Linked DNA regions of Styela clava. The protein of the gene in region 2 purifies or fractionates together with the protein of the main gene of each other region. This does not show direct contact. Links are inferred from orthologs where the notes say so. Each region holds a gene or a part of one and is shown on either strand. Other genes may lie near its edges. The genes, in order: serine/threonine-protein phosphatase PP1-beta catalytic subunit and protein phosphatase 1 regulatory subunit 12B-like.

Region 1 (17,158 bases), on a different chromosome or scaffold from region 2:
GCGTCGAAATCCTTGAATCGGTAACGTATTTTTTAATGGCCACAACTCCAGTTTCTGCCGATCTTCAACGTTAAAACGCATGAATACGATATTTATACCACGGCAAGCGCTTTATTATGCGACGGTACGGTATTTTGGTTCTCACCTCGGGCTTCGAAGCTGGAACAAAAACGGCTTTGAACCGCGATAGAAAACTATGGACTAACGCTAATATCGGCGAGTCTTTCATTGTTAGATAGATTTTAGTGTTAGGAATAGAGTGGTCACACACATCGGACATTTGACTTGACTGGCGCGGCGGTGTGGCTCAACGGGCTAAGCGTTAGGAACACGCTCGCCACCGCACCTCTAATTACTCTGCGTGGGTTCGCAGGTTCGAATCCCATGCAGGGATGGTTATGTGCGAGAGGATTGCTGGACTCCTCGCCGTCGTTGGGTGGTTCACGTAACCGCTGGTCGGTCACGGCTTCCTCCACCACCAAGTCCATGCTTCCGAAAACAAACAATACAGTAAAACTAATCCCATACCAGACTTGGAATGGTAACCGGACGAGAGGCCGTGGTTCGCCATATGGATAAGCCGTCTTATCGGCTTTCCTCTCCCCCGGGATAAATATGTAAATCCTATCCTATCGCGGGTTTCCTTTCGCACAACGACGGTCGATATCGATAGTATTGGGTTGTGAAATGATCGAAGGCAGAGTGGTCACTTAATTATCAGTTACTACATATAACTGCCCTGCCGAATCCCCCACTTGTATTGGATAAGATAATACCTAATAAGAAAAGAATCATTTTATTTTAATTCAAGTACAGAACAAAACAATTTCAATCTACTAAAAAATTATTCCAAATTTGGTTTCTGATTAAAGGGTAAGTGATAATTAGATTGGCATCTTCTGGAATAAAATTTAATGATTTCGCCAAGCATAAAGGACATTACAACGATCCCCAATTAGTATTGACAAGAAAGCAAATACAGGTTAAAAAAAAAGAGAATCGACTTCGTCCTAAAATACTTCAGGCGGCATCTGATATAAAACTAAAAAACAGCACAATCAAATCATTTGCAGGAAATGTCAGTCAAATAAAAATGTGGCATCGAGCTCCACAATTTGAATTATTTGGTTAATCAACAATAATGCTGTGTAAGGCAGGAAAATAAAATTTGTAGAATTTTCCTGATAAAACCTGCCCAAAGACAGCATGAATTTTCTCATGGTCAATAGTGTAATCTACTTAATGTTTGGTACCATTGCTTGAAGGTTTATAGCAATAAAAAGAAACAATCAATCTGAATAGCCATGTTAGAGTGATAAATAAATGCAGCATATGTTTTCAGGAATCAGATGGAAACATGCAGTGAATATTGATGGAACAGCTTATTTTTGTTTGATCCACTTATACACATTGAGTAACTGACGGCCAGAATTCCTGTGCTTAATCAACGTTTAATCAATTGCACGTAAAACCATGACAAATTCAAATTTTTTTGCAAATCATAGAATTTGGGCATCTTACAGTTATATTTTATCCTCTAGGTTGAATAGCTACCGGTATATATATTGCCCCCTTGTTGATGTTATTAAGAAGAAAAAGAAAGTATGTATATATAATTTCTGTACAAGCATCAATGACTCTTGCAACTGCAATGCTACCATACAACGTTACATCTTTATTTTATAGTGGTAAATACTGTTATGTGCATGCATACGTGTAGCATGTTCAGTACATGGAAGTGCAGTATTGTTTATTTGAAAACACTTCTTTTTCAAAATCATTTTTTTCCTGAATTAATTTTGTTTGGAGGAGTTATCGGCCTTCCAGAGTTCAACCCTCCATATTGATATTTGGCTTTCTTCTCAGCAGGTTTCAATATCTTGAAAAAAAAAATTCCGTCTTTTAGAACACAATAAGAAAGCAATTAATTTCACAGTTACAAATCCCAATCTAAATATAGATGTCAGTCTGAACTTTAGCCTTATCTACACTCAAGACTGCATGTTACGATATATTCTGTCAACAATCTACAGTGTTCTATGCTAACTCAGTTAATCTCCCAGTATTGGTGCAGATGTGTAGTGCAACTATCCCCTCAAATAAAAAGTCATGGCATCATTTTAGATATAATAGTCTGCATATCGTACCTGAAATGAGCAGAGTAATGTCTCATCAATACTCATCATACCACCGGCATTATCAAATTCTCCGCAATAGTTGGGTGCAGAGAACAGTGTGATCAGTTGGCGTTTTGCAAAGAACTCATATCCATCTTCAACAACCTTTCAATGTGAAATAATTTGTTTGGTTTATTCCGTTGCTAGCGAACGGTATTTCATTTATTGTGATATAGAGTCAAATGCATATAATAAGTTCAGTGATTAATATTTACACATGAGACTATATTCTTGTTGAGACTATATTTTTGTTCTGGAGAAATATCTCTATGAAATTTAATAATTGCAGGATAAAATGCATAATATATGCTGGAATAAATCACTCAGATCATACTATGTAACCTCCTTAAAGTCAGTAAATATCCAGTTTGCAAATCCATTTGATAGTATCCCTCACATTGGAATATATTCCACAATCCACATTATAACCAAAGACCCAAAACACGGCCCTTAGTCAAATATTCATATAAATATATTTTTGATAATTTAAAAAATTTATCATTTGACTTTTGTTAGCCAGTTATTTGTTTTTGGGGTGCATGAACTTGGTGGTGGAGGCAACTGGAACCAATCAGCGGTTACATGAACCGCCCAACGGCAGCGAGAGTTCAGCAATCTGCTTGCACATAATTATTCTACACATGATTCGAACCAAGGAATCCTCGCAGGGTAATCAGAGGTGCCGTGGCAAGCGTATTCCTGACACGCTTTAGCACGATACGCCACACCACACCAATGTGCCATTTTAATTTTTCCAGGTAATTGCCACTGGGAGTGGGGTGGGCTTTTCATATTCATTTTGGCCAGGTATTCTACTATCGAAAATACATCAATCACCATTGTAATCTATGAAGAGACAAGTCCTGGTTTAATATTTATCGTGAATGATTGAATTGCATCCAAGTTGAAATTTCCTGTCCGTTGAAATCTAAATACTGTTCAATCCAAAGAATCAAGGAAAATGTATTATCTGAACTTGTGAAGAGACGGCTTACGTATAAAACATTCTCATACTGATCTGCCAGTTGCAGGTAAGATGGCAGAATTAAAAAATAAGGCTGCTCTCTGTTTTATATATGGTAGTATATTATATATTGGCTATTATACTACAATATTAGTAGAATAGTTTTCGCACAAATCCTAATGTTATTGATAACAAATTTACAAGATAATCAATCTAAAAATAAATTCCACAAGAAAAAGAATGCAAAAGTTTGAAAATTACCTGATGAGCTCTGCATATCAAGTCTAAATCATGTCTGTTTAAAAACTTGCTGACAATATCTTGGCCAAATGTAAATGAAACTCCCCTGTCATTTTCGCCCCAACCAGCTATGTCTTTGTCTGGATCAGCCCACAATAAATCACATAGAAGTCCTAATAAAAAATTGAAAACCGTTTGAAAGATACTGATACTTCGTTATGGTCCAATACATTCTCAAAGTGAAAAAAAACTACACTACATAATAAACATTAATTTTTTTAATAGGACTGCCAGTGGGTTTTGGATTTTTTCCAACACAAGTCGGGGTCCTACCATGCAACAATGAAAAACTAACCTGTGTCTGGAACATCTGTTGGCCTCATTATCCTACGAATCTGATCCATAGTTTGTAAATCGGGCGACAATCCTGAAAAGATTTAAACAGATGGTAAACAGAAAACCATTACTGAAAAATTTACTATCCTGCATATATTCGATAAAGCAGTTTCATATATGCAACATCGCATATGTACAAGTAGGCTACTAAATATAGATAAAACTTGAACAGAGGGGCAAAATTATAACAGGAACGTTTCATACTTGAGAGTTGAGACAGAGTAGAGAAAGCTTGTTTATAACCAAAACGAATGAAATCTCACTTTAAAATTTACCACGCATATACTGCTGTTGTTTTCATTAAAATAGGTGGCCATATATCAAGATCAATTACATTGAACAATCAATCACACCAAGCAAACAATTCTTCTGTTATGGTTTTTTATTTTAATTCAATTTGATAATATCCTAAATTATTCTCGTTTTGATTTTATCTCTTTAGTTTGTATGTGTGTGAGCGTGCGCCCAGTAATTTGCAGATGAGTGAACATGTACCACATCTCACTAAAACACTTTTTTATTCAAATTTTTTATTCAATAAACCTTACTCAGATTTTGTTAGCTCTGTTGATTCTATAATCAGTTTTATTTGTTTATTTTTATCTATTATTTTGTTACATGTCATGCTGATTATGGAATCCAAATAAACTTTTATTTATACAGTCTTGAATAATTTAAACTTCATGTACTTAATCTCAATTTGTTAATAATAACTTCCATTGAAAAACAATATTAGTTATAACTTATACTATCTTGATTAATAATGCTTATCATTATGAACTCATGTATCATAATATAAGTAATAACAAATCACTATCTATTCTGAGTAAACATTCACCTCCATGACAACAAAATATTTTCTCATCAATAATAGCAGCTATAGGAAGACAATTGAAGCAATCGGTGAAAGTTTTCCAAAGTTTTATGTTGAATCGACGTTTACCTGAAAAATAGATGAAAATTTTGTAATCTTATTGTCAATGAGGATATATGACAATGTACCGGTAAGTAAGATGAAATCTAGTTTCAAAAGCAGGCAAGATGAAGTAATAAAGTTTTAGTTGACATTACACGCAATTAATGCTTTACATTATAACATTTATAAAACGTGATGCAACCTTTATATCGCATGATTGAATTTTTTCTGAATAGAACAACATAAGAAAGAGTTTACAGGCTATGCGAGAAAAGAAGGCAAGCAAATTCTATCTTATTAACAGGATTCCTTTACCATAATGGCCTTATTTAGTGCTTGTGTTAACGAGTGATTTAAAAAGAGCACGCACCAAAATTTGATATCTAATCCTGAGGTAAATGAGGTTAATGAAATGTCTTGTACAACAGTAATAATTATGCCGGCAAAGTATGTGTTAGATATCGTGGCTTGAAGAAAATATGACTTAATTATTATGACAAAGTAGAATAATTTGTGACTGAGAAATTTATTAAATAAGTAGTTAGTTTCAGCATGTCAATTAAGGTGTGAGAACTTGCAGAAAATTAAAACATAAATATCAAAATAAATAGTGAACCAAGGAAGAAGCACATAATGCAATAAAATGGGATGACTTCCATTGTCATCGAGCTACAAAGAACTATAACTGCAAATGGTGTTTTCGGTTTCGTATAAACTGTACAATCTATATAGGTATAGTATATTATTATAAAAACTGTTTGAAGAATTTAGAAAACCGTGTAACATCTATCACTTATCGCAAGTTACTGACTTACTGGTACTCAAATTGTTAACAATTTTTTTTATCCAATTTATGAAGAAGAATATTGTATTATTAATGATAATATGGAAAAACAAATATTAAAATTACATCCATACTAGTATACTTGGTAATTAATTTTTATTAAAATAAATATGTAAAAAAAAAATCAACAAATTCATTAACAATTTCCCAAATAAAATTGCAGTAACAAATATCACCGGTCCAAACTGGATTCAGAGTCGCAAAACATTGCACACACAAAATTTGACTTTATTTTGCCCATTTATCAAAAGTAAGATTCCTTCTTATCAAAGTTTAGTCTATCTGTGACAACAGTAATTAGTTCCTATCATTTATTAAAGGTTACTTTTGATATACAGCATATTCTATATGCCGTAATTTCCTTGCTTAATTAATACACAGAGAAAATATAATTTACTCCTATTCAATGGTTTCCCCCATTGTTAAATCAATGTTTACTGTAATCAATACCACGAATCAACATAGATAGTGTCATACTGTAGTGTTATGATTAATCAAATTAAAAGTGATAATATTCTTAGAAATTGAGACTAATGATTAATGAACATACTGCACAATAAAAAAATTCAAATTTACATTCCAACATAAAGGCATACAACCACCCTATCAGACTTTTGGTGTCTACACTTTTCGTAAATCAAAAATTGTACAGTGAAATTCTAGAATATCAAACTGATATATGCTCCTACTTACATTCATCATGAAATCCATATATACGATTGATGCTGGCACATTCATGATTCCCTCGAAGTAGAAAAAAGTTTTCAGGATATTTGATCTTGTATGCCAATAACAAACAAATACATTCTAGAGATTGTTTTCCTCGATCCACATAATCACCGAGGAAAAGGTAATTAGAATCAGGCGGAAAATCACCATACTCGAATAAACGTAATAGATCTGTATACTGTCCGTGGATGTCTCCTAATATTAATGAAACATTCGTATAATGAATCAGGTATGATCATCATATTTACATTCTATTTATTAAATTCTTCGATTAAAGATTGGTCTATCAATTTGTACAGTTGGACTAAGAAAAGAATATTCTTGTGACATTATAGACAATATTATTTTCTGTATTATATTTGTCAAGGAAATTCATTTGAGCTGTTGCAGTAGGGAAAGTTCTCAGATTCCACGATTTTCCGACATTTGTTTCTATAAAACAAACCGGATCGGATTATTTTTTCTGAGAAATGCGATGGTGGTGTTTTTAGATTGCTCTTCCTTTTAGTTTTATTGCACAGTTCCGAATTGCTAATTTTTGCCTATATAGAGGCCCAGACTGTCTCGTAAAGGAGGGGTATGGGTTTGCACTCAACTGTAATCGATCGATATCTTTCAATATGTGAGTTATGTTAGAATCGGAGAACTGTGCCATATTGTATTGTCCTAGCTCTTAACTTCAGTTGAACTTGATTGAATTTCTCAATAAAATCACATACTTAAATTAGGAAAACTAAATTCAAGATCATGATTTTATCTCACCACATATTTTCAATGGTGCTTCCAACTCCAAAAGAATAGGTTGACTTAAAAATATTTCTCTTGATTTGATACAAAGACCTTTAATTTCTGCTTCTGTCATTTGTACTGTTCTCCCCGGTCTGCCCCCACGAACTGAAATATAGAGAATGGTGTTTACGAAATGCTTTCAAAGTAAGATTAGCATTAAAGATCTTGCAGTAAGGTCAGAAGGTGATATAAGGCTATATGACAGTTTCTTCTGCATAAACCCATATTTTATTAATAAATGAAAAAAAGATAATAGGATAGGATTTACATATTTATCCTGGGGGAGAGGGAAGCCGATAAGACGGCTTAACCATATGACAAACCACGGCCTCTCGTCCGGTTACCATTCAATGTCGGGGATGGGATTAGTCAGTTATTTTTTGCAAGCATGGACTTGATGGTGGAGGAAGCCATAACCGACCAGCGGTTACGTGAACCACCCTACGGCGGCGAGGAGTCCAGCAATCCTCTCGCACATGACCATCCATGCATGTTGAACCTGAGAAACCCACGAGGAGTAATCAGAGGTGCAGTGGTCGAGCGTATTACTAACGCTTATCACGATGAGCCACACTCTGACACTGCCACGCCGGTGATAGCCTATTTGGTTAGAGAAGTTAATCATATCTTGGAATTGAAATTAAAAAGTTAGTACTAACCATCAAGAAGGCGTTTTATTAATCCATCAACATCTAGTTCACTGTCTGCCATGTTCTTTAAATATTTTAAAATCAATAACTAGATGATAGACTAGAATGAAAATTCAAAATAAATCATAAATCGTTAGTTGCGCCAATTGATTCTGGATGACACAAGAGTGTGAATGATTTTTAAAAAAAAAGATGGCACCACACTGCAAGTTTTAGGAACATGCTGTCGATGAATGTTTGGCAAAAAATTAAACTCAAAGTATACAAAACAGTTTAGCACTTTCTGACTTTAAAAATGTTCGGAGCAAAAATGCATAAAATTGAATTTATTTTTCGAATAAATCAGGGTGAATCCATGAAGATTGAATTTCGCATTGCAGTATAGTTAAGGCAAACATTGCTCAGATAGACTTTATATTATATAGCCTACATGCCGGATTAGGTCTAACCATCTTGATATCAAATGCTTGTAATGGTGAATTTTTTGAATAAATATATTGTATGACAGTACAGCAGTATGAAGTACAGTATAACTAGTTTACATGTACTCGAATATGTGATTTATTTCAACATGGCTGGTTTGAAGCTTCTGCAGGTGTAGACTACTGTTACAAAACAGTGAAATACTGGTATTCACTATTCCAGTATTCAGCTGTATTTGTAGAAACAAATCTGATACTGGTAATACTGTAATAGGTTTAATAGGTCAGTAGGTTTGTAGGTAGACTATCTGCTGATCTGATCAAAATCGTAATTCTAGAAAATATATATTTATTCTGCATATTCAGATATTGCTGTATTGCCACATACAGATTTGAGGAAGAATAAATAGAAAAGCAACATTCACTGTTCAAGAAGTGTGGTATCGGTACGGTACCGGTATCACTGTATCAAGCCAGTCACCGAATGTTACCGTATAGAACTGAAATTATTTTGCATTATTCAACTTAGAGCTAAAGTTACATCATGATTCTGTAATTTGTATCGTTATGCAGTTGTGGGTAGGTACGGTAGGCACGTACCGTTCTTCTCGTTTTCGCAACTCCCAAGGCGATTGAAGAACGAACCATACGGTAGTACCGGTAACGGTACCGGTACCAGTAACGTTTTGTGACCGAAAAGTCTGTGGGTCTCACGTACGTCCAGTGTAATACTTTTAGAGGGTGTGGCTAAACAATTTCTACATATGTCATTCCTGGCCCCATCTGATGATGTAATCCAAACATTACGTCAACGTGACGACATGATATATATAGAGCTTTTTGCGTTATGGCGTCCGCATCCACTTAAACAAATAGGGGTACCGTACGGTACAAACGCCAGCGATCTCTCGCATCGGAATTATTTCGATTAGCTGAAAATAAATATGAACAGCGAGCAGGTATAAATCAAATTCTCGGACGAAAGTTCAAGAGGCATCAGAGCAACAGCCGAATTTTGCTGCGTTACCGGTATAGTAGGACAACAGACATGAATATACAAATAAAACTCTTGTACAATACACAGGACAAAGAGGTACTGCACCATGATGATATGTACAATAGGCAGTTTATGGCACGTTCATCTCCCAGGTTCTGATGTGAATAGGGTATAAATTAGGGTTAGCATTTCGGGACCAGTTTTTGAAATCCCGGTATCGGGATATTCCGGGATTGAGCCGTATAATCCCGGGATTTTTCGGGTTCAAGTAAAAGATCGAAACAACTTGCATGACAATAAAATTACGTATTTATTTCATGTAATATCGGCGCGGAAATATTAAAGCATCTATCAGTAAGTAGTTTATTTTTCACCATACTTCAAAATAGGCACAAACATACAAATTGCAATAAATTATAAATAGGTCATATTTCAGGGTGAAGGAGACGCGGGAAACCAGTACTGGTTATTGAGCACCGGCGCCCATAAAATAAGACTAATACTATATTATAAAGAAGAAAAAGTCGAACTAAGTATATGTAAATTGAAAAAAAATGTAAGTAAATGGTTCCCAACCTTTTTGGACACGTTTAGTGGCCATAACGATCGTTTCAATATTATGTTGTTGTTGTTCTTTGACACGTTTTTAAAAAGTCGCTTTTCTTTTCGAATACTGGACCAATTGCTTTGAAATTTTCAGTGGTTAAAGATTAATTTTTTCGCTAGAAGGCTATTACTTTTATTTATTTCAAAATTTTGCGTGAATTCTATGAAATTTGATATTTCGTCTAAAATTTTGCTGTATTATTTTTTATCCATGGGAACACGGATTTTAGTCAGTGTCATGACTGGCTGTACGTTTTGATTCTGCAAAATTCTTGCTACTGGAAATTCAGAACTTTTTTGAGGGTACCGGTAGCGTCAAAGGTACCGGTAAGGACTGATTCGCTCTGGTCTAACGTGTCCATATATTTGTGCGTAGCTCTCTTGTTTTTTAAATCGTGGCACACTAGTTAGCTCTTTCAATTTTCGTGGCACACCTATCACAAAACACGAACATTTTCTAGTCATGAAGAGTGCGATATTTGAACACGAACAAATGGTTAATAGTTACAAATTTAAAGCAAACGAAAGCGTCTTCGCAACACCTCACATTGTTGTAAAAGTCGCGCGGCCGCATGGGTAATACGTGGTCTTCAAACGCACCGCCGATCACGCGCTTCGGTTTTGCTCGCCCTTCCACGTTATGCTTTTATTATTGGACACGTTTAGTGGCCATAACGATCGTTTCAAAATTTTGTTGTTATTGGACACGTAGTGGACATAGCGATCGTTTCAATATTATGTTGTTGTTGTTCTTGTTATTTGACACGTTTTTAATAAGTCGCTTTTCTCTTTGATTACTGGACCAATTGCTTTGAAATTTTCAGTGGTTGAAGATAAAAATTTTCTTCAGAAGGCTATTACTTTTTTTTTCTGCAATGACGTCATCAGAATTATTGCCCTTAGGGGGCGCTACGTGTCCATATATTTGAGCATAGCTATCTTGTTGTTATTTTCTTTCGTCATTATCATTAAAAAATCGCCTTTCTCTTCGAATACTGGTCCAATTGCTTTGGAATTTTCAGTGGTTCAAGATTGATTTTTTTGCCAGAAGGCTATTACTTTCATTTATTCCTGAATTTTCTATGAATCTTATGAGATCTAATATTTCATCCAAAATTGCGCTGTATTTATTTTTAATTATGGGAACACGGTTTTTAATCCGCCAAGCGTGACGGCTGACTGTGAAAATTCTTGCGACTGAAAATCCGGAACTTTTTGAGGGTACAGTACCGGTAACGTCAAAGGTAAACCCTGCTTCGCTCTAGTCCACGTGTCCATATATTTGAGCGTTGCTCTCTTGTTATCACTCGTATTCTCACTTTTTCACAACCCAATTCATTTTTGGACACGTAGTGGACATAACGATCGTTTCAATATTATGTTGTTGTTGTTCTTGTTCTTTGACACGTTTTTAAAAAGTAGCTTTTCTCTTCGAATACTGGACCAATTGCTTTGAAATTTTCAGTGGTTAAAGATTAATTTTTTCGCTAGAAGGCTATTACTTTTGTTTATTCTTAAATTTCATATGAATCCTATGAGATATGAAATTTCATACAAAATTTCGCGGTATTTATTTTTACTCATGGAACACTGTTTTACACTTATTTCAAGCGGTTTCGCGATCGATTGTCTTGCTCAGTACTACAGCTACTGTAGGTCGGTACTGGTAAATTGCCATACAGGTACCGTAACGCAGTGAAATTGACTTATTCCTTCCGCGGTATTACTAATGCTGCAATGCAAGTTTTATAGCCTATCGTATGCGGAACGGAATATCAGACCTACAGGTTCGGTACCGGTACTGGTAGCTCAGTACGTAAGTACGATACTGGTACTGGTGCCGGTACCGGTGTCTTACCACAATGAAATTACCGTAACTTATTCTTTCACGGTCCTACCAGTGCAGTAATGCAAGCGTTGTAGCACTTGTAGCCTACTATATTTGTTTATTTTGATGAGAGTCTACTGGAAACAACATAAAATTTGAAAGGGAAGAATTGTTCTGTGATCAATTATCTGTCCTAAAGTGTAAACAACATAAAATTTGCCAAGGGAACAACTGTTCTGTGATCAATTACCGTATATGGCCTACAGTGTACAGGTAAGATGCTGGCTGACTGCTAACCGGTACTGGTAGCTCAGTACGTAAGTACGATACTGGTACTGGTGCCGGTACCGGTGTCTTACCACAATGAAATTACCGTAACTTATTCTTTCACGGTCCTACCAGTGCAGTAATGCAAGCGTTGTAGCACTTGTAGCCTACTATATTTGTTTATTTTGATGAGAGTCTACTGGAAACAACATAAAATTTGAAAGGGAAGAATTGTTCTGTGATCAATTATCTGTCCTAAAGTGTAAACAACATAAAATTTGCAAGGGAACAACTGTTCTGTGATCAATTACCGTATATGGCCTACAGTGAGTGTACAGGTAAGATGCTGCCTGACTGCTAACTCAGTACCGCTTGACACGTTTTTAAAAGTCGCTTTTCTCTTCGAATACTGGACCAATTGCTTTGAAATTTTTAGTGGTTAAAGATAAAAATTTTCTCCAGAAGGCTATTACTTTTTTTTTCGCTATGACGTCATCAAAATTATGTGACTCTACGTGTCCATATATTTGAGCATAGCTCTCTTGTTGTTACGAGTCAATACGTTTCTCCCATTGCCAAAATCATTTAATAGTGTTATTGTCGGCACTTGCGAGAGAAAGGAAAGAGGCAAACAAACTGTATTTCATTACAACAATTATTCATTATCGCCAAAAACACAAAATAGGTTTAAAGTTGTTATAAACAATTTTCACCGCTGGACGTATCTTTTCACGTTCGGGTAAAAAAAAGATAACCGTTTTCGTGTTCAAGTTATGAATGAAATAATCGTCAATTCCACCACGCTTTTGTGAAGTAGAGGAATTTTTCTAAATTTCTGAAGGTTTTATTAAGTTTCATTGCATCAGCGTTTAGACTACAAGAGAGCTATGCTCAAATATATGGACACGTTGAGTCACATAGTTTTGATGACGTCATAGCGAAAAAAAAAAGTAATAGCCTTCTGGAGAAAATTTTTATCTTTAACCACTGAAAATTTCAAAGCAATTGGTCCAGTATTCGAAGAGAAAAGCGACTTTTTAAAAACGTGTCAAAGAACAAGAACAACAAGAACAAGAACAACAACAACATAATATTGAAACGATCGTTATGTCCACTACGTGTCCAATAATTACAGATCGCAAGGGTGGGCAAAGTACTGTAGTATATTTTCACTGAATCGAATAATTTTAACGAATTGTCGAATATCGAGTTGAACTCGGGATTTTATTCCGATTTTTATCTTTTGGGTCGGCTTTGATCTCTCTTGTCACCGTTTGTAAATTAACTGTCCCAATTTTGAGCTGAAAATATTATCATTTCTGACGCCGGAATGCGGATAATTATGAAGACGATAGTTAACCTTCTTGATTTTTGATCATACTTTTCTACTGTGGCTGTTTTATTTTCGTATCCAATAATGAATAAAAACCAGATAATTATGAAGACGATAGTTAACCTTCTTGATTTTTGATCATACTTTTCTACTGTGGCTGTTTTATTTTCGTATCCAATAGTGAATAAAAACCATGCAAAGTCATCGGGTGAATCCTGAGTACTATTTTGAGTTCAAATTATGATTAAATAAGTCGGCAATAATGACAATTCTACTAGTCAAATAATAATTCCTTGGTAAAATTTGACTTAGTCTGACTTACTCAAACTGTAAGCGTGGAAGGTTTTTTTTTCAAAGTAAGTATTAAATAAAATGGTAGGCCTATGTATAACCTACCATTTGTGAGAATATCTATATGTATATCTACAAAGCCTTAAAATCCCGGGATTTTTAAAAAATAATTGCTGGATCGGTATTGAAAAAAACGGTCCAAATCCCGGGATTTTGGGATCTGGATTTTCCGGGGTCCCGACCCCAGTATAAATCGCATTTTTGTGTGTTTTACAGTAGATTGTACGAAACAAGTAAAAATTTGTTTTAGACATGAACCTGCCAAAAACCACCGTTGGGTTGGGCCACGACACAAAAGGATTAGGTTCTAAGAAGGTAAACAATAAACGACATATGTAGAAATTCTTTGTTTACACTCGAGTTGGTAATCATAAATTGTATGCGACAAAAGTAATGAGAACAATAAGAGTCTGGCATAAAATGCAGGCCAATTTCGTAGGCGCTATTGTGTGGAATTTATTGTCACCATGTCTCAGCATGATAAATTTGTATAAGATGATCTTTTCATTAGCGACGATCCAACGAAGTACAAAGCTAATAAACCATAAAAATATGCAGGAACTAGAGACAATAGATCAGTGGGTTGCCCGAGACTTGTTTCCTGAACAATGGGAGTTGGTTGCATCCACGATGACATAGTTAGTCAAACGGAGATATTTTTCATCTGCCGGTCTTTTCTCAACTTTTGAACATGAATGACAATGCTCAACTTGTAGTATTTGTGAGGTGTCATGATGAGAGTGAGGAAAAATTTATGCAAGATTTGTTGGGTATGGTTACCCTCAAAGGAAGAACATGAGAAGAAGACATACATGAAGCCATGAAAAGCATGCTAGAATCGAGAAATATTGGATCTAAATCAATCATTTCACTGACAACTGATGGAGCAGCAGCAATGATTAGGAGAGGAAAAGAATTTTCTACGTTCAACATTTCTTTAAACACTGTTATTACCTAATTAGTCCGTCGTTTTGTAAAGCTGATCCACTCACTTATACAATCGAGGCTTATTTAGATTACCAATTTGAATCAAAAGTATCTGGTATGAAATCCAACGGACTCTCATTACAGACTGCCTGAAAACTGTTTTAAATAACGTATCTTTTTTTCTCTCAGCAACATACTTCAGCCATTATTTAGCTATCCCTATAAGCAGAAAATCAGCTACAAAACATTAATCTTGTAAAGTGAAAGAATAACACAGAAACTGGAAAGTTTCGGACTGAAGCTGAGGATTTCAAAAATGCCTTTGTCGATAATCCATTTTCAGAACTCTTTGAATAAGCTAAGCAAGCAGTGATACTATCTCATTCAAATGCTGATAATAAAAGAATTTATAGTGCAATGAACAATGCAAAAATAATTTGAGAAACAGATTCATGCAAAAATTAAACTAAGGAACAGCATGAAGACAGATTTACTGAATGCAATACTAGTTATTAAATTTGGCCTGATTAAAAAAAATGTTGCACGTCTTATAAGCTACCTGATTCGGATGCCAAGAAAATAGGTACAGCAGAAACTTATAAAAATCTCTCTATAGCAGGGGTTCCCAGACCAGGGGTCGCGACCGCAAATTGGGTCGGAGTGATAAGTAGGTAGGTTTGCAAACAGGTCATGGCGTCGCTGAGTTATGGTTGAGGGTGGATGTACAAAACATCTAAGATTTGACAAACCATGTTAAATTTAGCAGATTGTACTATGGCTTACTGTAAAACAGGCCCATAAGCATCGCTCTATGGCTATGCTTATGCTATAAGAAATGTAGGTGATTATTGTGACATCACTGTTTGATTTTAGTTTATTTCACTTAAAACCACCACATGACCAATCTCAAAAGTCCAATGAAAGAAGCTCTAGAGTTCCATGAAAAATATATATATTGACCTGAGGTCGCACTGGACAATTGAAAGTTGTCTTTGGGGTCGCCCTGAAAAAAAGCTTGGAAACCCCTGCTCTATAGCAACAACATCAACAGATGTTAGCTTCTTCGACATCTAATACAGTATTATGTAATATATTAAACTTTGTGTGCTCTTGTTTCGTTAATTTTCATTCAATTTAAAAACTTCATATTTAGATATATTTATTTGAATGCTTTGGTTTTCAATCAAGATGTTTTTTGAGGTCAAACTAGAATTTGTTTAAGTCAGGCAAGAGTGGCAGCCCCTTGGCGTGAGCCGCTTGTATAGTATCCATCTTGGGAAAAATCACTGTATTTCACTGGCCTTGCGTACGGCGTACCAACTCGTGGGAAGACAGTGTCAAGTCTGTAAATGTTGCAGTTAAATGCGAAGACTTCACATAATCAGAGCCATATTGAAGTAGTCTACCACTCTACCCCATATCAGTACATTCCCCTGCGGCACGTCATTACCAAGTCGAGGTGGCCTAGCGGGTTACCAACGTATTAACCATCTTCAACGTGTTTCACTTCACGTCATTTTGTGACTATATGAATAATGTCGACTATATTGAATGGCAGAGTGAATCCATCAAAATCTTTTTTGTTCGTAATAAAGCAGGAAATGCTTGTGATGCCGAGGGAGGTGGCATCCACTATCCAAATAGAGATGACTCATTGGAGCTAGAATTTTCTGAAATTGAAATGATATAGTGGCTTTACAGATTGTAAATTATCCTTTGCTGCTTGTATTGAATCTAGTTCATGCATTCATTCAATCTTGTCAAACATAAATCTGACTTATTTTAATTGTCAAAGGTATGAAACTGAACTGAATAATTACCTGGAGCGATATGAAAAATCATGCGAAATGCGAAAAATGTGCTTATATCAAGTTAGAACCATGATGGAAGCACTAAAAGAAAAATCTCAATGTTCTCCATCACATCATCATAGTGAAGCAAATGTACTTACCGTATATGATATTGTTTTTCTGAATTCTTTTTACGCTTTATATTTGTATAATTATTTGAAAACAATCTATTTTTGTGACATGGATCTTACCACTAACAACTAGCAAAAATGGGAGAGGTGAATATTGTCTGAATCGAGCAATTATCGAAAATCCGAAGCAAGAATATTAGCTAAGGACTCTAAAGTTCACCTTGCAACTTGAGTAAGTTATATTTAGAAAACTATGTAATGTAATTTTAAACTAAAGATTCCAAAAAAATAGTTACCGTAAATGCTCGTTTTAACGCCCGGTCTTGATTAAGGGCCCGTTTGAATAGCCGCCCGTGTGAACAGGACATAAAAATAAATAAGGGCCGGTGCTTGAATACCCGCCCGGTGTAAAAGTTTTTTTTTTTTTGCGGATTTGTACCTGCGGTGCGTAGAAAAAGTCAAAATTTTCATTATTCTCGTTTAAATCATACTTGAGAACTGGAAATGACAATATACGGTATTAATTATTGTAACGATCGATCTTATCTACCGGTATTTTTGTGTGTAATTTTACTTTAAAAATAACAAGCGCCCCTGCTTGAATATGGGCCGGTTTGAATAAGGGCCCGGCTAGTGAGTATGTTTAAAAAAAATAACGATCGATCTTATCTACCGGTATTTTTGTGTGTAATTTTACTTTAAAAATAACAAGCGCCCCTGCTTGAATATGGGCCGGTTTGAATAAGGGCCCGGGTAGTGAGTATGTTTAAAAAAAATAAGCGCCCGGGCTAGTAAACGAGC
Region 2 (17,369 bases):
AATCTATCTAAAACAGATTTGTGTGATTTGGGTATCCAAGCTGTTGGGGATATTTTAGCCATCCTCAGCCACAGCAAAGCAAAAATGACACTCGAAGCCCACACACAACAAACAATAGATGCACCAAGAAATGACTCTAATATCATAAAGCCTCCTCCACCCAGAATGCCGCGGATAGAAATAAACATGACACGACCTCAATTTCGAAAATTCAAAACAGATTGGGAAGTGTTTAAGAAAATGACAAGACTTTCTGATGAACAATACAGTTCCCAGTTATACAACATGTGCGATGAAGCAGTTCAAACAAGCATAATCAACACAGTAACGGACTTTTTCAGTCTCGATGAAGAGGATATTCTTAAAGCAATTGAAACAATTGTTACACAACGTTCAAACCCCACAGTTCATCGCATGAACTTTGGTGCAATAATTCAAACAGAAACAGAATCTATTCAGGAATTCATCACCAGACTGAAGTCAGTAGCAGTGGACTGTGAATTTTCTTGTCCTCAATGCAAACACAACCTATCGTCACACCACGTTCGAGATCAATTCATCAGAGGTGTCCATAGCACAAGCCTCCAGACTGAATTGCTCGCCAAGGCCAACCAATTTAAGACTTTAGAAGATGTTATCAAACATTCAGAAGCCTTTGAAACCGCTGTAAGAGACCAATCAAAACTTCAGAAAACCGCAGAAGTATATGCGGCACAAACTTACAACAAACAAACACCAAACACCCGCGAATCGCAAAGGCCATGCGCAGGTTGTGGAAGTCTATCTCACGGATTTCCAGGTTCAAGGAACCGTTCAACAAAATGTCCTGCCTGGGGGAAAACTTGCACCAACTGTAAACAGCTCAATCACTTTGCTCGAGTTTGCCGACAGGTGAATCAGCCCCAGAAAAACCAACCACAAGCAGAAGCTAATGCCCTACTAGCTCATGTACGTTATAACAAAAAACGTCACTGCTTTACTACAGGACAACATGGAATGGATGAAATTCAAGCAACAGTACATCCATTTCCTCAGAATCGCAACTCGAAACCATGCACGGTACTAATATTCCCAGATAGTGGAGCAAACATTTGCTTAGCTGGCCCAAAGCATTTGCAGAGCATGCAAATCAAACAAAATCAGTTGCTTAAATGTCATAAGATAGTGACGGCAGTTGGAGGATCAACACTGACTTGCTTCGGCTGGCTGCCGGTCAAATTTGTAATTGGTGGACACTCTACCACACAACAAGTTTACATTTGTAACAAAGTGGATCGTATGTACTTCAGTCGCCAAGGCTGCATTGATACCAGAATCCTTTCTAAAGCATTTCCTTACCCTATGGAAATGGAAGCAAACGTGGCAAAAATTAGCACAGCAGACATCCCCACTAGTGAGAATTCATTGGGCCAATTACCAAAACGACCAAGAAATTTGCCATTCCCACCAATGGACACGAACGTCCCCCGACTGGAAAAGTACTTATTGGCGGAATTTGCAAACACTGCATTTAACAATGTCACACCATTTCCAAAAATGAATGCACCCCCAGCCCACATTCACCTAAAGTCTGATGCTCAACCATTTGCACATCATACTCCTATTCCAGTACCATACCACTGGAAAGAAGCAGTGAAATCCAGTCTAGACAGAGATGTAGAAAGGGGTATTATAGAACCTGTCCCTGTAGGGCAACCAGTTGAATGGTGCAGCAGAATGGTAACAATTGCAAAGAAGGATGGCACACCCAGACGTACTATAGACCTCCAGCACCTAAACTCCCAGTCATTGAGAGAAACTCATCATTGTCAGACACCATTTCAACTGGCATGTCAGATACCTCCTAAAACTAAAAAGACCGTACTGGATGCTGTAGATGGATATCACGCCATAGAACTGGATGAGGAAAGTCAGCATTTAACGACTTTCATAACTGAATGGGGAAGATACATGTACAAACGAATGCCTCAAGGATTCATTGCAGCTGGAGATGCATACACAAGACGTTATGATGATATTATAAACAATACACCTCGCAAAGTAAAATGCGTTGACGACACGCTACTATATGATACAAATATAGAAGAAGCCTTCTTCCACACTTGGGATTACCTAGCAACATGCGCAACAAATGGCATTGTACTGAATTCAAAGAAATTTAAATTTTGCAGAGACACAATCTCATTCGCAGGATACAACATAACACCAGATGGCATAACACCATCAGCAGAACTTCTCAAAGCAATTAGAGATTTCCCAGTCCCTAAAGACATCACTGGAGCCAGATCTTGGTTTGGTTTAGTTAATCAAGTTTCATGGGCTTATTCAATAAGTGAAATAATGTTACCTTTTCGTGAACTCATAAAGCCAAACTCAAAATTTTACTGGGATGAAGCTTTGGAAAAAATATTTGAAACATCAAAACAATTACTGTGTGAGACAGTTAAACAGGGCATACGTTCCTTTGACACAAAACGTGCAACTTGCCTCCAATGTGACTGGAGCAAAGATGGGATCGGATACGTTCTTCTTCAAAAATACTGTGATTGCTCGATCGATAAAGTTCCTATTTGCTGCAAAGATGGTTGGCATTTGGTTTATGCCAACTCCAGGTTCACCACGCCAACAGAAAGTCGATACTCACCCACTGAAGGAGAAGCATTAGCAGTATCCTGGGCCTTACAACACGCACGAATGTTTACCTTAGGTTGCCAAAACCTCATTGTGTCCACTGACCACAAACCCTTATTGGGAATCTTTAAAGATCGAGACCTGGATAGTATTAAAAATCCTCGAATACAAAACTTGAAAGAACACACCCTGCGATATAGATTCACAATGCAGCATTGCCCAGGGAAATGGCACAAAGCACCCGATGCTTTATCACGCAATCCCACAGCCTTGGAAATAACAGATACGAAAAATGCAGTGATGGACATAGCACGAAATGACCCATCATCTGATGAAGTAACAACAACAGAGCAGTGCGAAGCTCGTGTTCACGCAATTCAACAATCTGTCATCAACTCAATAAATGATGACGATGCGCTTGTGACCCTGGATCACATTAGAAGCCATGGAAAGTCTGACAAAAGCTACAACATACTCATCAAAACAATTGAGAATGGATTCCCTAACACAAGACATGGGACACCGCCTGAAATCCGGGATTATTGGGGTGTGAGAGATCGCCTATCAACTAAAGACAATGTAATACTAATGGACTCTCGCATAGTTATTCCCACTCCCCTTCGCAAGACCATACTGAGGTCACTACACTCTGCGCATCAAGGGATCACAGGCATGAAAGCAAGAGCAAACCAATCAGTCTATTGGCCGGGCATGAACGCCATGATCCGAAACTTTCGATTTGGATGCCTCACATGCACGAAATACGCTCCATCTCAAACTAAAGAGCCAATGATATCGAGCCCGGCGCCACAGTATCCCTTTCAACACATATGCGCCGACTACTTTGTACTGGGGAACCACTGCTACCTATCTGTTGTAGACAGATTCAGTGGTTGGATCAGTATTTTTCATTACCCACCACATCGATCAATCACTAAAGAGCTCATCAACTCATGTCGTGGGTTATTCACATCCTATGGAGCACCAGAAGAATTTGACTCAGACGGTGGACCTCAATTCACCTCATCCGAATTCCAGAACTTTTTAACTGATTGGGGAATAAAGCATCGAAAGTCCTCAGCATCTTACCCACAATCTAATGGACGGGCAGAGCTCGGAGTTAAAACTGCCAAGAGGATCATTCGTGATAGCACATCACCTGACGGTTCTCTGAATAATAATAAGGCAGCACAGGCAATCCTACAATACAGGAACACTCCTCTGCAAGACATTGATCTCAGCCCAGCTCAGATACTTCTGCATAGACAACTGCGGGATCACGTTCCTACAAATCCACAGCATTACCGTCCCCATCCACAATGGATTATATCTGCAGTGGAACGTGAGCAGAAACTAGCTAACCGCCATCACATCATTATCGACAAATATAACAACACATCGAGACAACTCCCTCCACTGTCAGTTGGGACAACAGTCGTTATACAATCACAAGTCCCAAACAAGCCACGACACTGGAACAGGACTGGTCGAATTGTGGAAATCCTACCTTACAGACAATACAAAATCAGAGTAGATGGCTCGGGAAGAGTGACTATACAAAACAGACGATTTATACGACCTTGCATCATCATTCAACCTCCGCCGATCATGCCATTCTCACCAACAATTCCCCCCAGCGGAGAGAGAGATGAAGACATTGGAAACTCTGGGAGTCATAATGCAGGAACTACTCAAGACACTCCGGTGGAAATACAACCAAGTCATCATGTGAGCCCATCGCTAACCAGCAGAGCTCCAAGATTGCCTAGGGCGCTTCAGAGGTTACAGCCCTACAACAAGCCAGGACGACTTGAGGAGAACTATAATGTTAACTGAACTGAACAAAACATTTCTTAATTTAAAAGACTCTGCGCCTCTGCCGGAGGGTGGAGATGAACATTACATTATATTTCATTGCATGTTTTAACTGTTTCGTTCTTGTTCTTTAGATTGTATTTTACTTAGATTGCTTAACTTGGTTGGCCTTGTACTATAGTTAATACTTCATGTGAATTGATTTAAATAGTGACGGCAAGTTATAAATTTGACTGACTGCCTTAGCGTCGACGGGAATAATGTTCGACGTAAATCAAACAAAGTGCATGGCATCCGAAATCACCAACCCAGACACATGCCCGTATTATCTATATAATTAGTGATGTAACAACGTGCTCACGTTGGTTCTTAGCGTTAATAACATTTTACATTTCATGTGCGCCGCGTTTGCATTGTTGTATCCAATTGAATATTTTATAGGCTGTACACCTTTCGTATACCCTTTATCAGTTGTATACCCAACTTATGGTCTGGTGTACACTTGGGTATACCGTATACCCGGTTAAAGAGCATTGGTCTAAGTTACTGTGCGATGTGTCCAGAATTAAAAAACGAAAGTACGAAGATGAAAACAGAGTTGTCAGAGTTGCCTTGTTTATCTATTTATTGTTGTTGGACTCTTGTGTGAATTTCTTTTCTGTTCATAGTATTTCGATAATATTAATAAATTCACAAATTCTGCGGCTCTTTTAAAGTTCTGACTTGCAGCTTGCGGCTCTTATACTAAAAAATTGTGCCCACCCCTGAACTATACAAATATGAACATCTCTAAATTTAACCCAATAATTTGATCCAGTGGTTGGTTTTTCATGATATTCATGTACCCCCATATCAATATTGATTAATGATGTATCAGAGAAATAGCATCTGAGTCAGTGACATACTAGTGATATATTAATCCTGCTCATACAATTCCAGTAATCAATGAGACACCGTATGTTGGCGAGCAATATGGCATAGAAAATACAACAATTTTTTATTTACTTATCTGAGAAATAGTCCATTGATGAACAATTTTAAGTAGACTGACAAGAAGAAAAAGGGTAATCAAAACTTTTTTAAAACATGCTTACACTCTTAATAGTTCAGTTTAATTATTTTGTTCAATTTATTCATGATTTGGTAATTCTATAATTAGAACTGATCATTGTGTATCAATAGCTATTTGTTAGCTCGGCAATGCTCGTGTTACTGTACTGTTGGAAATGAAAAATTGCTTCTCTTGTACCAATTTACTTCTATTTTTGCTAGTTCATTCTGAAAAAAATCTCTCAGCTAATAACCACTGTATCACTGTACAAGACCATGGAATATTTATTCGAAGCATTGAAGAATTTTTATAATCTATTCGATTGTTTTAAATTCATGTAATGATAAATATTGCATGAACATCACAGCATTTTGAAAACCAAAATTAGAATTTATTGCCTTTCCAGGCTCGGAGAATATTGTCAGATAGAGTTTCTGTACCTCGATTTTCAAAATATCCTGCGACACGCCTTGAGTTTCAAACAAAGCAATATGAATCATTTGATAACAAAAGTTAATTGCTACATTCATGAATGGTCAGTAACAGAACATTTATGTTATACCGTTGACCAGCCTACTGGATATGTTAACCCGGGTTTGAATAGGTGTTCCAATTTGAAGGATTTCTACAAACTTCCTATTTCAATACAGTCGGGCACAGTTTCTAAATTCCAAGAATGTCCAGTCATTTGTTCAATAAAACAAACACTCCATGTTTCTCACAAACGAGGGGCAGTTGGCACGATGACAACGTCATATCGTGCCAAGCTTGTCTCAATAATAATCTAAATTAATCACAGCCGTCACATGACCAAAATTGCAGTTGTTTTGCAAACTCTCGAATGCCACGGCAAATTTTATTTCCTTCAGTAAACCGGATTTTTTTCGAGAGGAAGTCAATGATGACATTTTTTAGATTGTGCTTCTTATTAGATAAACAAGATTATTAAACACAACAATTTCCAGACGTCCTCGAAAAGAGGGGTGTTTAGTCAAAATGGGATTCTCTGAAACGGGACAATGTTGCTCGATCTGTTAGGTGCCGTACTACAATATGAGAAAACTGGCAAAAAATTTATTGTTTTCAAAATGTTAGAGCTCAACGTCGAGATTACTAACAGTCATCATATTTTTAATGCCAGCATATTTTTAGATATTTTTTGCCATGTTATTTATAATTATAACATTACTTTAATTAGGTAAATTGCTAATAGCAAAATAATCATGATAGTTTATTCACGGATTCATGTGGTTAATAGTCAATTTGCTTTTTCAGATATCTGGATATAATGAAAACTGTATCAAAACTTCGAAGATTGTGATTATTGTTGTTTCGTCAAAAAAAAATTAGGAGAGTGTGGTTAAGTATAAGAATTTGATAAACAACAAGTACAGAAGTATTGAAATCTAAGCATACCGTATTTTCTATAAAAAAGAGATCAAGTATCATGCCCAGATACTTGTTTGGAAAAAGTTTTAGAAAAATTAGTTTGCCCATGCCCAGATACTTGTTTTGAAAAAGAATTGGAAAAATTATATACTAGTCACTACTGTTAATTGAATTGATAAAAAAAGGAGGATGAGAGTTTCGATTTATTTTTGTTTGATACAGAATTCTGGTATTATGCATTTTCTTTGACTGAGGGAATATCTTAAATAGCGTTCAGTTAACCTATTACATGACCATACCTGATGCAAAGCAGTTAATCCATCCACATTCGCAAAATTTATATCCGCCCCATTTTTGAGCAATATTCTGACTTCGTCTAAATCTCCACTAGAACATGCAGCTAAGAATACTGCACCGTCGTCGAACTTGACTCTCACTTTTGGATTTGCATATGTTGGACATTCTAAATCAGTAGCTGAATTTTTCCATCTAGTTATCTGTTCTTGCCTCTTTTCTTTTGCAGTTAAGGACCGATCGTCCTCCATTTTGACCCAACCTACAATTGCTCGTAACTACGTCATCAGCGCTCGCATACCTTCGCAAATTTCCATCACAAATGACCAGAAGAGGGCGCGACAAAATTAATCTTCCGTTTGCCTTTTTTTCTTCACAGCTCAAGGCGATAGTGCATTTGCTCCACGAGGTGGCCGCGTTAAAAAAAGTATTGCGCGATATATCGCCTTTCCATTAAACATTTGAGCCTAATATAGCAGGAGTGTCACGCGCTCATTAATACACTAGAATAAATTTATATTGACGCGGAAGATTAACAAAGGGCAAAATATAAAAAAAATCTATTGTATTGTTAATGTTTTCCTCTACAGTCCACTTTCGTATTTCGCATGATGGAAGAATAATAACAACGAACAAAGCACCTGCGACGGGCACTGCAATCTTGACGTATTGTCTTCGGGTGTACATATTACAAATTGTAATGTTTTCAACGCCAATTCCCAAAAACAAGAGGAATTGGCCCAATATTCTTTATAGAAATTGCCCTCCGTGGTCTAAAATTCCTGTCATAGACATTCATCTTTGAAACTATTACCATTAAGAACTTTATTTGTAAATATTCAAGAAGATCGTAATATTTTGACAGCATCAAGCTATAATAAAAGCATACCAATCAAATAGCATTTAATTCTGTACAAATAAACGGCCCAAAAATACATAGGCTCCAAGACAGGAAAAGAACCAGAAAACACTCAAATTTATTGTTAGTGATGGCAACAGACATTGTAAAAGAATATTCACATAAGCTGTCTGTTTGTTGGCAGTGATCGCACGTCTTTGTTTTCACACAGCCTATCTTTAAGAAAAACCAGAGATGGTATGTATCAAAATACTGGCAGTAGACACCATTCTCAACCATATATTTTATGAATTCTGTTACACCAGCAATGAATTTTCACATATTGAAGAAATTACGAACAGCATCTCTATCTGTTCTTCCCATCATTTCCAATTCCGATATAAGTTGAGGTAGGGGTGAATCAGAAAGTGTGATCGGCCGCTCCTTTGTCGGAGTTGGGAAATTTAGTAGAGTGGAAAAGAAATTCGCCCAGAAACTTTTGTGAAACCATCTGAGAATGAAAACGTATAGACTTTGAAAATGATATTCTGACGCAGTATTTTGATTGAAAATTGATTATTCGAACTGCGTACCTCTTAATTTTGTTCTGTATTTCCCATTTTCCGTCTTGGTTTTTTCTTATTTTCATGTAGGAACCAAACAGTACAACATGCAGTGACCCGGCAATTCCATATAGATCAATCTGAAAATAAAAATAATAAACAAAAAAGGGAAATGTATACAGACACAAACTATTGTTACTTGAATACTTGTTTTAACACAGAAACTCTGCTAATGCAAACTTTATGAAAATAAAATGTGTTCTCAAATACCATGCTATAATATTTTTTGAAAGCGGATGAAACACCCTAAAAATGCTAATTTAGTAGAAGATCCATCAGTTCAATTCATGCCCAATAATATCATCATAATTGGAAAAAATAAAATTGAAAATTTGTAGCAAGTATACCAGAATTCTTGTTCACAGATTTGTGCATATTGTGTGAATATAAGCATGTGTCAATAATATTTCGGTATTAATATCATGTAAAAAATATAGAAGACAGTAATTTAAAATAGTTACAAATTCACTCTTACATGGTAATTCCAAGGTTCTTTGTTTTGCATTTGAACACAAATAAACGCACTCGTACAACAGTTCTTTATAAATGAAGATCCATACGGCATTTCATTCATATCGATAGATCGACCAAAATCAATTAATTTGATCCCACCAATCTCAGTGAGGGAGTCAGAACAATCAGATGATCTGCAAACAATTTGAAAATTATAGTTGCATAGTTTATTTCGAATGAGGGAAATCCCAGACAAATAGAACATACTAAATCAGGGGTGTGCAAAGTGGTCCGTAAGCCAAAACCCGGCCCGCCAAGCCATTTAGTGGGGGTCTTGTCAACATTCATATTTTCCCCATCAAGCATAAAATCCTAATCGGACAGTTCATGTTTAAAAAGGCGCTCACGTGGGCCAAACTACATGTTTTTCTGCTCTTGTCGCTGAGTTAAATCATTCGCCGTTTTGACTGTTGCCTTCATTTCTGCAATACTAAGCTAAGTGATAGCCGTATTATCTTCTCTTGCCTTCCCACGGCACTCTGGTTATAGGTAGCTAACGTATTACGCTGTTCCATATTATATTGTGACATAATAATCCGTAAAAACCCAAGTGTTAGTGTGGACCAGCTAGCTGTCCGAAGTTAGTTTTAAGTTGCACACCCCTGTACTAAAAAAAGCCATACTCACTCCATTTCGATTTTATTTAGCCCAGAAGCAAGCTTTGAATTCAGACCAGAAAGTTCGGAAAAGTGATAGAGGCAACAGGAAGAAACCAGACTTTCCTTGAGTTATTAGCAACAGACAAAATCATTCAACTTATATGAAGACTTCACTACAAACGTTCCATGGTACATAAACTATTAATGAACTCACAATGGAACCACCATAAAGTTATCAGGTTTGATATCGCCATGAATAATTCCGACAGTATGAAGACTATGAACTATTCTCATCAGTTGATTTGCAATCCACCTTGCAGTTGCATCTTTCATCATTACATTTTTATTTGCATTAATTTTATCCTAAAAATAAATGAGAATTTATTTACATTTCAAAGTCAAAGAGTATAGCTGAATGGTGTTAAACTATCTTGCAATTTCATAGCTGATAATCAATTTCAGATTCGCAAGGTTAACTTCAGGGGATGAATAGTAAAACTATTAGTATTCATAATTACAGTTAAAATATACAGCCATTTTAAAAACAACCAAAGTATTCATTTTGGCTATGGTTTGAATCTCTATGTTCGAAATTTGTTCTTACCAGTAAAGTTCCCTTTCCATAATGCGGCAGTGTCAACAAAGACCCATCTTTATATAAATAAGCTGAATTAATATTAACAATTGCATCAGCAACATCAGACATTCCTTGTAATCTTAGTCTCGTCTTTGCTTGATTTATTATATAAACTTCCCATGGACATGAAGGTGTTTCAACCTGAATTGAGAACTATTAACATCCCAAAAATAGTCAGAACAACTTTTTGTTTTAGTGGAGAATGGGGAAATAATTGTGATTTATGTAATATTTTTCTGTTCAAGTTGAAGGAACAGTTGTTAGAGTTTAAGCTAAATTAGTAAAATTCACAATATCGCAAAATGCAGATCAGTACTTGCCACTTCCACACTCCCTAAAGTTGCAAAAACTAAATACTACATGGAATCGAAAATTTAAAAGCTAAAATTCGGAAAAGCCAAAATTGAAAGTGTCAACTGGAAGTAAAATAATGGGAGAAAAAGTTAAAGAAACAAAATATAAACTTGGGACATTTTAATTTAGAACATTATGTTGAAGCGATTGTTTAGTCGTAAGTCATTTCTTAATATCTCAAAGTTTAATTCTGATGTCTGCCTGTTACTTTTCTCCACATCACGGCCCTGATTCCTTTTATCCAAGTCCAAGTTTTTAAACAATTTAAATATATATTCCAGTAGTTCCCAAACTTTTAGGGCTCGCGGCCCTCTACCGGGAGGCTTTTAGCACTCATGGCCTCCCTGTTTATCATTCTAGTGGTATTTATAGTGATATTTTGATTCCAAATCTCATTATGTTGAAACATTTCATGCTCAATAAGGAGAAAACAATCTGTGAAATAACCTAGTCAAACAATGAAACTAGGAAGAACAGGGAGTTTTCTTGTAAAGTGAAAAGTAAAAAAGTTTCGCGCCTAACATTATGAGCCCTCTCCAACTGCTCTGTGGCCCCGAGGTTGGGGACTGCTAATCTATTCAATGACGATAAAATAATTGAACATACCTTGAGAACCTGCTGACAATCATTTTCATTAGAAGCAATATAGAATACTTTAGCAAATGCTCCTTCACCAATCATCTGACCAAGTTTAACATTCTTTCCATCTGAACAAAAATAGGAGTTTTATGTGAAAAATTAAAATTAAAAAAAAATTCATTGCTTGAATTAATATTGGATGACTGATCCCTCGGCCCACAAGAGAGCAAAAGCATTTTCTCTGGTGGCCATGAACTATGGCCTTCACTAGACAACTATAATCATTAAGATCAACTTGATTACGATTTGTTTAATTATTTGACTGAAATGTATATATGCTTATGCTTTCATATGTAAGCTTCACAATATACAACATTGCAAGCAAAATAACTAAAGGGAGCGTTTTTATAAAAACTAGGTAGGTTTTTTCATCCGAATGCTGAGTGTCCTAAGATAGGGTTACAATCAAGGTTAAATATAAAATTAACGTCAGAAACACAAAACTTTATTTTAGAATCCATAATATCAAAAAATATCCTATCCACAGTCACATTTTTGTATGTTTGCATAAGCCACACATGGGATATATATTTGCAGTAAAATCCTGATGTCACACAAACTATTTTAATAGGAAAAATGCTATGCTAATTTTGAATTAGTATATCCTCTCTTAAACACAATCTTACAAGGTGCCACACCCAACTAACCAAACCTACTTAACTTCTCATCAATACAAAAATGTGAAAGATGGAAATGATCAAATGACTATGGTTTTCCATTGAATTAAAATTACCGTAAATAAAACTCGGGCTAACTTCAAGACCAAGAAAAGGGGAGTTGATTTAAAACATACGAAAACGAAATAAATAACAGAGTGAAATGCTTGAAAACGAAATTATCGAAATATGAATTAACATTCCAATTACAGCAAAAAAGACAAAAAAATTAACGATATACTTAGATTCAGAGTTGATCCTTTGCGAATGCTAGGCATTGGCATGGTTGCCATATGATGTATCTCAGTGTCTTTGATATTTGACAAATTGTTATGATGTTCCATGATTGAATTCAATAAATCTTTGTTCCACGGATCATCAATGATGTTTGGTAAGGATGATTGCGCAATACTCTCCGCCTCTAAGTTTAAAAAAAGAATAAGGATTATTTACCTTCACTAGTAATTTAACAAAACATAATGTGTGTAACGATCTCAGCAACAAATCCTATGTAATATATTGAATAGGTGATGCTAAACTGGAATGATTCCAGTCCTTTCAAAAGTAGTAGTTGCTTACATATTGTTGGATATCAGTAGAGGCTTATTCAGATCCTTGTTCAGAGCAAAACGCTTGGGTAGGTGTGGATTGCAAAATGGCCAACAAATATACAAAAGTTAAGATATAGATATGTTCTATGCTAAATAAGAAAAGCTTTGAGGATGATTGAAGAATTAAAAAATTTATCTTTCTCTATTTCATATTATAATTCTGCTTTGTGATATACCAATTTATGACATCACAAATGAAATAAGTATGACGGTTAACTATTGTGACACTGACATCACACAAAAATGCACAATGTAATAATAAACTACATTTTCCTAAAAAATGAGATAAATTTGAATTTTTTTAAAACAAGAAATTTCAAAAAGTTTTCGGACAAAAAAATAAAATTCGCATTCACCAAAATCAGCTTTCTTGATTGAAGTTGAACTAAAATCGGTGCAAATTTTTTCAATTTCCGTATTTTCTTTCAGAATTTTTTGACTTATAAAAACATTGTCATCTGGTTTAATTCTGTGGAAAACAAAATTGAAAAGCGAAATTTAATAAAGAATAAATAAAAATTTGAGAGTTGCTGTATCCGCTTTTTAGAAAAAAATTCAACAATGATGGGATCACACTTAAATTAAGCAACCAACTATGTAAAAATAAGTAGATTCACTTTAATGCAAAATTATAGAATATAAATCTATTGTGGTATGGACATTGATATCCAATGATATGAAATATTTTGGAAAAATTTCATTAATTTCTATTGAATAAATCTTTAGATTTTTTCATATTTCTAGTTAGTTTGAAAATTATTTTTTTTTTTACCAATTCATAATAGTGAATCTTCCCCCCAAAACTATAATATTTTTGTTTAGCAAAACCGTAAACCAATAGCCTATTGCTACAATACTCTCAGTCATATGTATGTATACAGAAAATACACAGAACTTTAAATTAAGATTGCTCAAATATGACTAATTTTGGGTACGGTTAGGCCATAATTTTATTCCGATTTTCCTTATTTTGGTTCTATTACGAGTTCGGTGACTGTTTGTGTTAGCTAAGTGAATATACCCCCTGCCCATAAGTTTCAGTTCCCTTGATGTAACACAGCTTGATGTAAAGTAGGCGAACAAAATTAGTTTCCCTCCATTGGCACACATCATTCTGGAGCGCCCTGTTTTTTACATACCAGTAATTTAAAATCTACCGTTATATGAAATTACAAAAAGAATTACTCACGAAAAAGCATCAGAAGGAGGTTTCACTGCTTGTGGTGATTCCCACAATCCACAATCGATAGTACCTCCAAAATCCATGAAATCTAAATTTCAACAATGCAATATTTAACTCAAGTATCAGTTGGGGTTACGCAAGACTTTTCCATGCTCTTTGTCAGGGGTCGGCAACCTTTTGTCTTTTGTGAAATATATAATTGTTAGGTTATAATATAATTTAGTATAAATAATATATTCGTCAAAACGGATGTTTTGTAACTATAATTTAGTGAAGCGTCGCGGGCCGGATTATAATGCTCCGCGGGCGTAGGTTGCCGACCCCTGCTCTATGCCTTCGTGGAAGTGAATCTGTATACGTGTAACCAAGGATGCTGTGGCAAGAATAAAGATGACTATACTCAGGGTTGTCCAAAACGAATCGAATATTCGAATGTATTCGAATATCAAAGTATTCGAATACCTTTTCGGCTGATTTTCGAATAATTCCGAATAGTAGCCACTTTTTGCCGTAAACGTGGTGTTTCGGTTTACGGGAATATTTAAACGACTCTTTACGCTGTCTCACGTAATGACGATGAAATAGAATCGGCACTTTGATTGTTTATATTCTGTGCGACCGTACCGTGTTGCGACACATTTGCACGTTTGCATATTTAATTTCTATGTGGCCTGCTTATTATTCGCATGAGTCTTCTCAAGCATGATTTGTGTAACCTTATATTTGGGTCTTAGCTTAGGGTCTGCCAATCATGATATTTAATCGCAGGCTGGTTATCGTTACTTTAAAGAGAAACACGTCCACCAAGATAAAGTGATTTGTGACCCTTTCGTTTTGCCGATTCAGCAAAACACGACAGGGACAGGAAAACAGCTGTGAAATAACCCGTGGACGTACAGTGTAGTACCTATCACATTCCAAAATTATTTCAACATTCGGGTTAATAGGTTGTTCAAAATGATTGCCGCTTTACAACTTAAATTTACCACTCAATTGTTGAAAATAGTTAATTCTGTGAGTATGATTCTACCAAACTAACATGATCTGGTTCTAAACATATAAAATTATTAGCGAATTAATGCCAAATACAACGGGTATTTGTGGACATGAAATACGTGGTAAACTGCCCAATTATAATTAATTTCGTATTCGTGTTTACAAAATAATAAAACTAATAATTCTAAAATGCAACGGCGATCCGTGGCCTTCAAATGTGTGGTAAACTGCCCGATTTACCAACATTTGAGTTATGATAATAGAATTAAATTAACACGGTAAGGCATTTTAAGTAGTGGTATCGGTCATGGATTCGAATATTTTGTGCAGCACAAAATCATCCTAGTAAAAAGTCCATACTTTTAAATACAAACCAATGGCAACCATTCTCCAAATTAGTTCCCAAGAGCGGGATAAAATATAAATTCTTTTTCCGACTCGTGACAATTTTTCGTGAGTACGAAAATAAGAATCAAAACTAATTATATTCGGCACAATATCACTGCAATCTGTGGACATAAATTGTGTGGCAAACTCGCGAATAATATTAATTTTTGATTCCTATTTTCGTATTTACAAAATACAAAGGCGATCTGTTAACTTACAATGGGTGATAAACTACCAGATTATAATTAGTTTTTAAATTCCTATTTTCCTATTTATGAAATAATAAAAGTATTATTACTCAAACATACAACGGCGATCTGCGGACTTGAAATGTGTGGTAAAGTTCCCAAATATAATTAATTTTTGATTAGTATTTTTGTACTCACGAAAAAATTGTCACAAGTCGGAAAAATGCCTCATACTTTATCCCGCTTTTCGACAAATAATTTGGATAATGGTTGGTATTTAAAAGTATGGGCATTTTACTAGGATGATTTTGTGTTGCGCAAATATTCAAATCCATCATCGATACCACTATTGTCGTATTAATTTAATTCTGTTAACATGACTCATGGTATATAAATTATATACTGCAATAATCTGCAAATATGAAATGCCTGGTAATATAGCTAGGTTGTAACTTGTAGATAGCAGTTATTCCATTGCTTATTGTATGGAAATTCCTACATACATTTAGGTAAGCTTCAATTAGTGGATTTTATTTTCGAAGTATGCGAAATTTCATATTCGAAAAAAATAATTTCGAATGTATTCGAAATAGTGAACTATTCGGTATTGGCCATCCCTGACTATACTATTTGATTTAAGAGTCTTACATTTGAACTATGAATAAAAAAGTTTATTTACAACAGCTAGGCAGATGTTTATATAATAAGCACAATGTAACCATCGGGGTGGGTCATTATTTTTGTTGATATTTTATCTCCATAAAAAGTACAGTCGTAATTTCAGCAGACACAAGTGGGCCGGATGAAATACTTCGGCGTACCGGATTCGGCCCACGGGTCGTAATTTACCCACCCCTGGTATATCAGGTCTTGTATGAATTGAACCGATACTGAATAGTTGGACTTAACTACGACGCCATTGCAGGTTAAAATCTCAGGTTCGAATCCCATGCCCCCAATATAACCCAGGATGTAATAAATTGGGTAGGCATGGTTGAACAAGAAAGATTCCTGTCCTTCTAACTATAGTAGCCTATCACCTAGTAGTGGCTGCTTGAGCAGAGACTTTTTCAGACCGAACAACAAATAAAGTGATGTATGAAAAAATTTAATCTGCTGTTCAAATGGCCAGATTCACCGTAATCCTAATTAATACTCATTAATTTGATATATCAGAAATAAAAACTCTAAAAACTGCAAGGAAATACCAATATCGACATACCCAGGATATCATTCGTTTTCGAAACTGTACCATTAGTCAATGGATCAAAATTATTAGTTTTTGATAAGTCGCTTCCGAAACTTTTCATTTTGAGGGGATCATTGTTAACGATTAACAATGGATCATGAGTTCTATCATACACTGATTCTCCACATGATGACTTAGCTTTTCCCATAACAGAAGATTTATCTGATTCGTTGCTGGCTTCCAAAATCGGACTGTAAATAAAGAAATAAGTGATATTAACGTTAATATAATATTTAAGGAGCATTTCTGTAATAACTAGGAATTTAAGGTTAGATACTTCGTTTTCAAATCCGAGACAAATATGTACTCAAGGTGTAAAAAATAATGTTATAGGCAGGGATGGAGCTGAGGCTGTGGAGTTTGTTAAAGCTGGAGCTAAGCTTAGCCCTGGACCAGGGGCGATGTAAGTGTGACGTTTAAAGTTACAATTTACAAACAAAATTTAAAGTCTTACAAAAGCAAAAGTGGAAAACAATAAACTAAATTGTCAGGCTGTAAGTTTGCCCATGTCAGGGTTAGAGTATACAAAAAATCCCTACATAAATATCGGACCAATTGTTTATAACTACCTTAGTTGTTTCATTTCAGCAGGAATGTCAACTTCTTTACCATTTTCCGCTGAATAGAACATATCGTTAGTATTTTCATCATAATCATTATGAATAGAGATTGGATTGACAGAAGGAGCAGAAGATTTGCCGATTCTGTCCTCGGAC

Evidence for each region.
Region 1: the proteins of protein phosphatase 1 regulatory subunit 12B-like (region 2) and serine/threonine-protein phosphatase PP1-beta catalytic subunit purify together in Drosophila melanogaster (affinity purification with mass spectrometry; 3 studies listed by BioGRID, with this or other methods). This does not show direct contact. The link is inferred for Styela clava from reciprocal best matches to the Drosophila melanogaster genes Mbs and flw.

What each region holds. Positions count from the first base shown.
Region 1 is NC_135250.1:14,150,060-14,167,217, forward strand, and holds serine/threonine-protein phosphatase PP1-beta catalytic subunit, read right to left. Parts: upstream 7,841-17,158; 5' UTR 7,767-7,840; coding exon 7,715-7,766; intron 7,161-7,714; coding exon 7,029-7,160; intron 6,462-7,028; coding exon 6,231-6,461; intron 4,721-6,230; coding exon 4,616-4,720; intron 3,809-4,615; coding exon 3,737-3,808; intron 3,555-3,736; coding exon 3,403-3,554; intron 2,283-3,402; coding exon 2,148-2,282; intron 1,880-2,147; coding exon 1,778-1,879; 3' UTR 781-1,777; downstream 1-780. UniProt on the Drosophila melanogaster protein: Required for cell adhesion in non-muscle tissues and in maintenance of muscle attachment. Vital for larval development.
Region 2 is NC_135255.1:4,339,411-4,356,779, forward strand, and holds the start of protein phosphatase 1 regulatory subunit 12B-like, read right to left. Parts: upstream 7,519-17,369; 5' UTR 7,432-7,518; coding exon 7,186-7,431; intron 1-7,185. Other genes in the region: uncharacterized protein LOC120330794, read right to left, coding at 8,355-8,529, 8,612-8,721, 9,117-9,288, 9,968-10,116, 10,358-10,543, 11,351-11,451, 12,281-12,460, 13,007-13,119 and 3 more.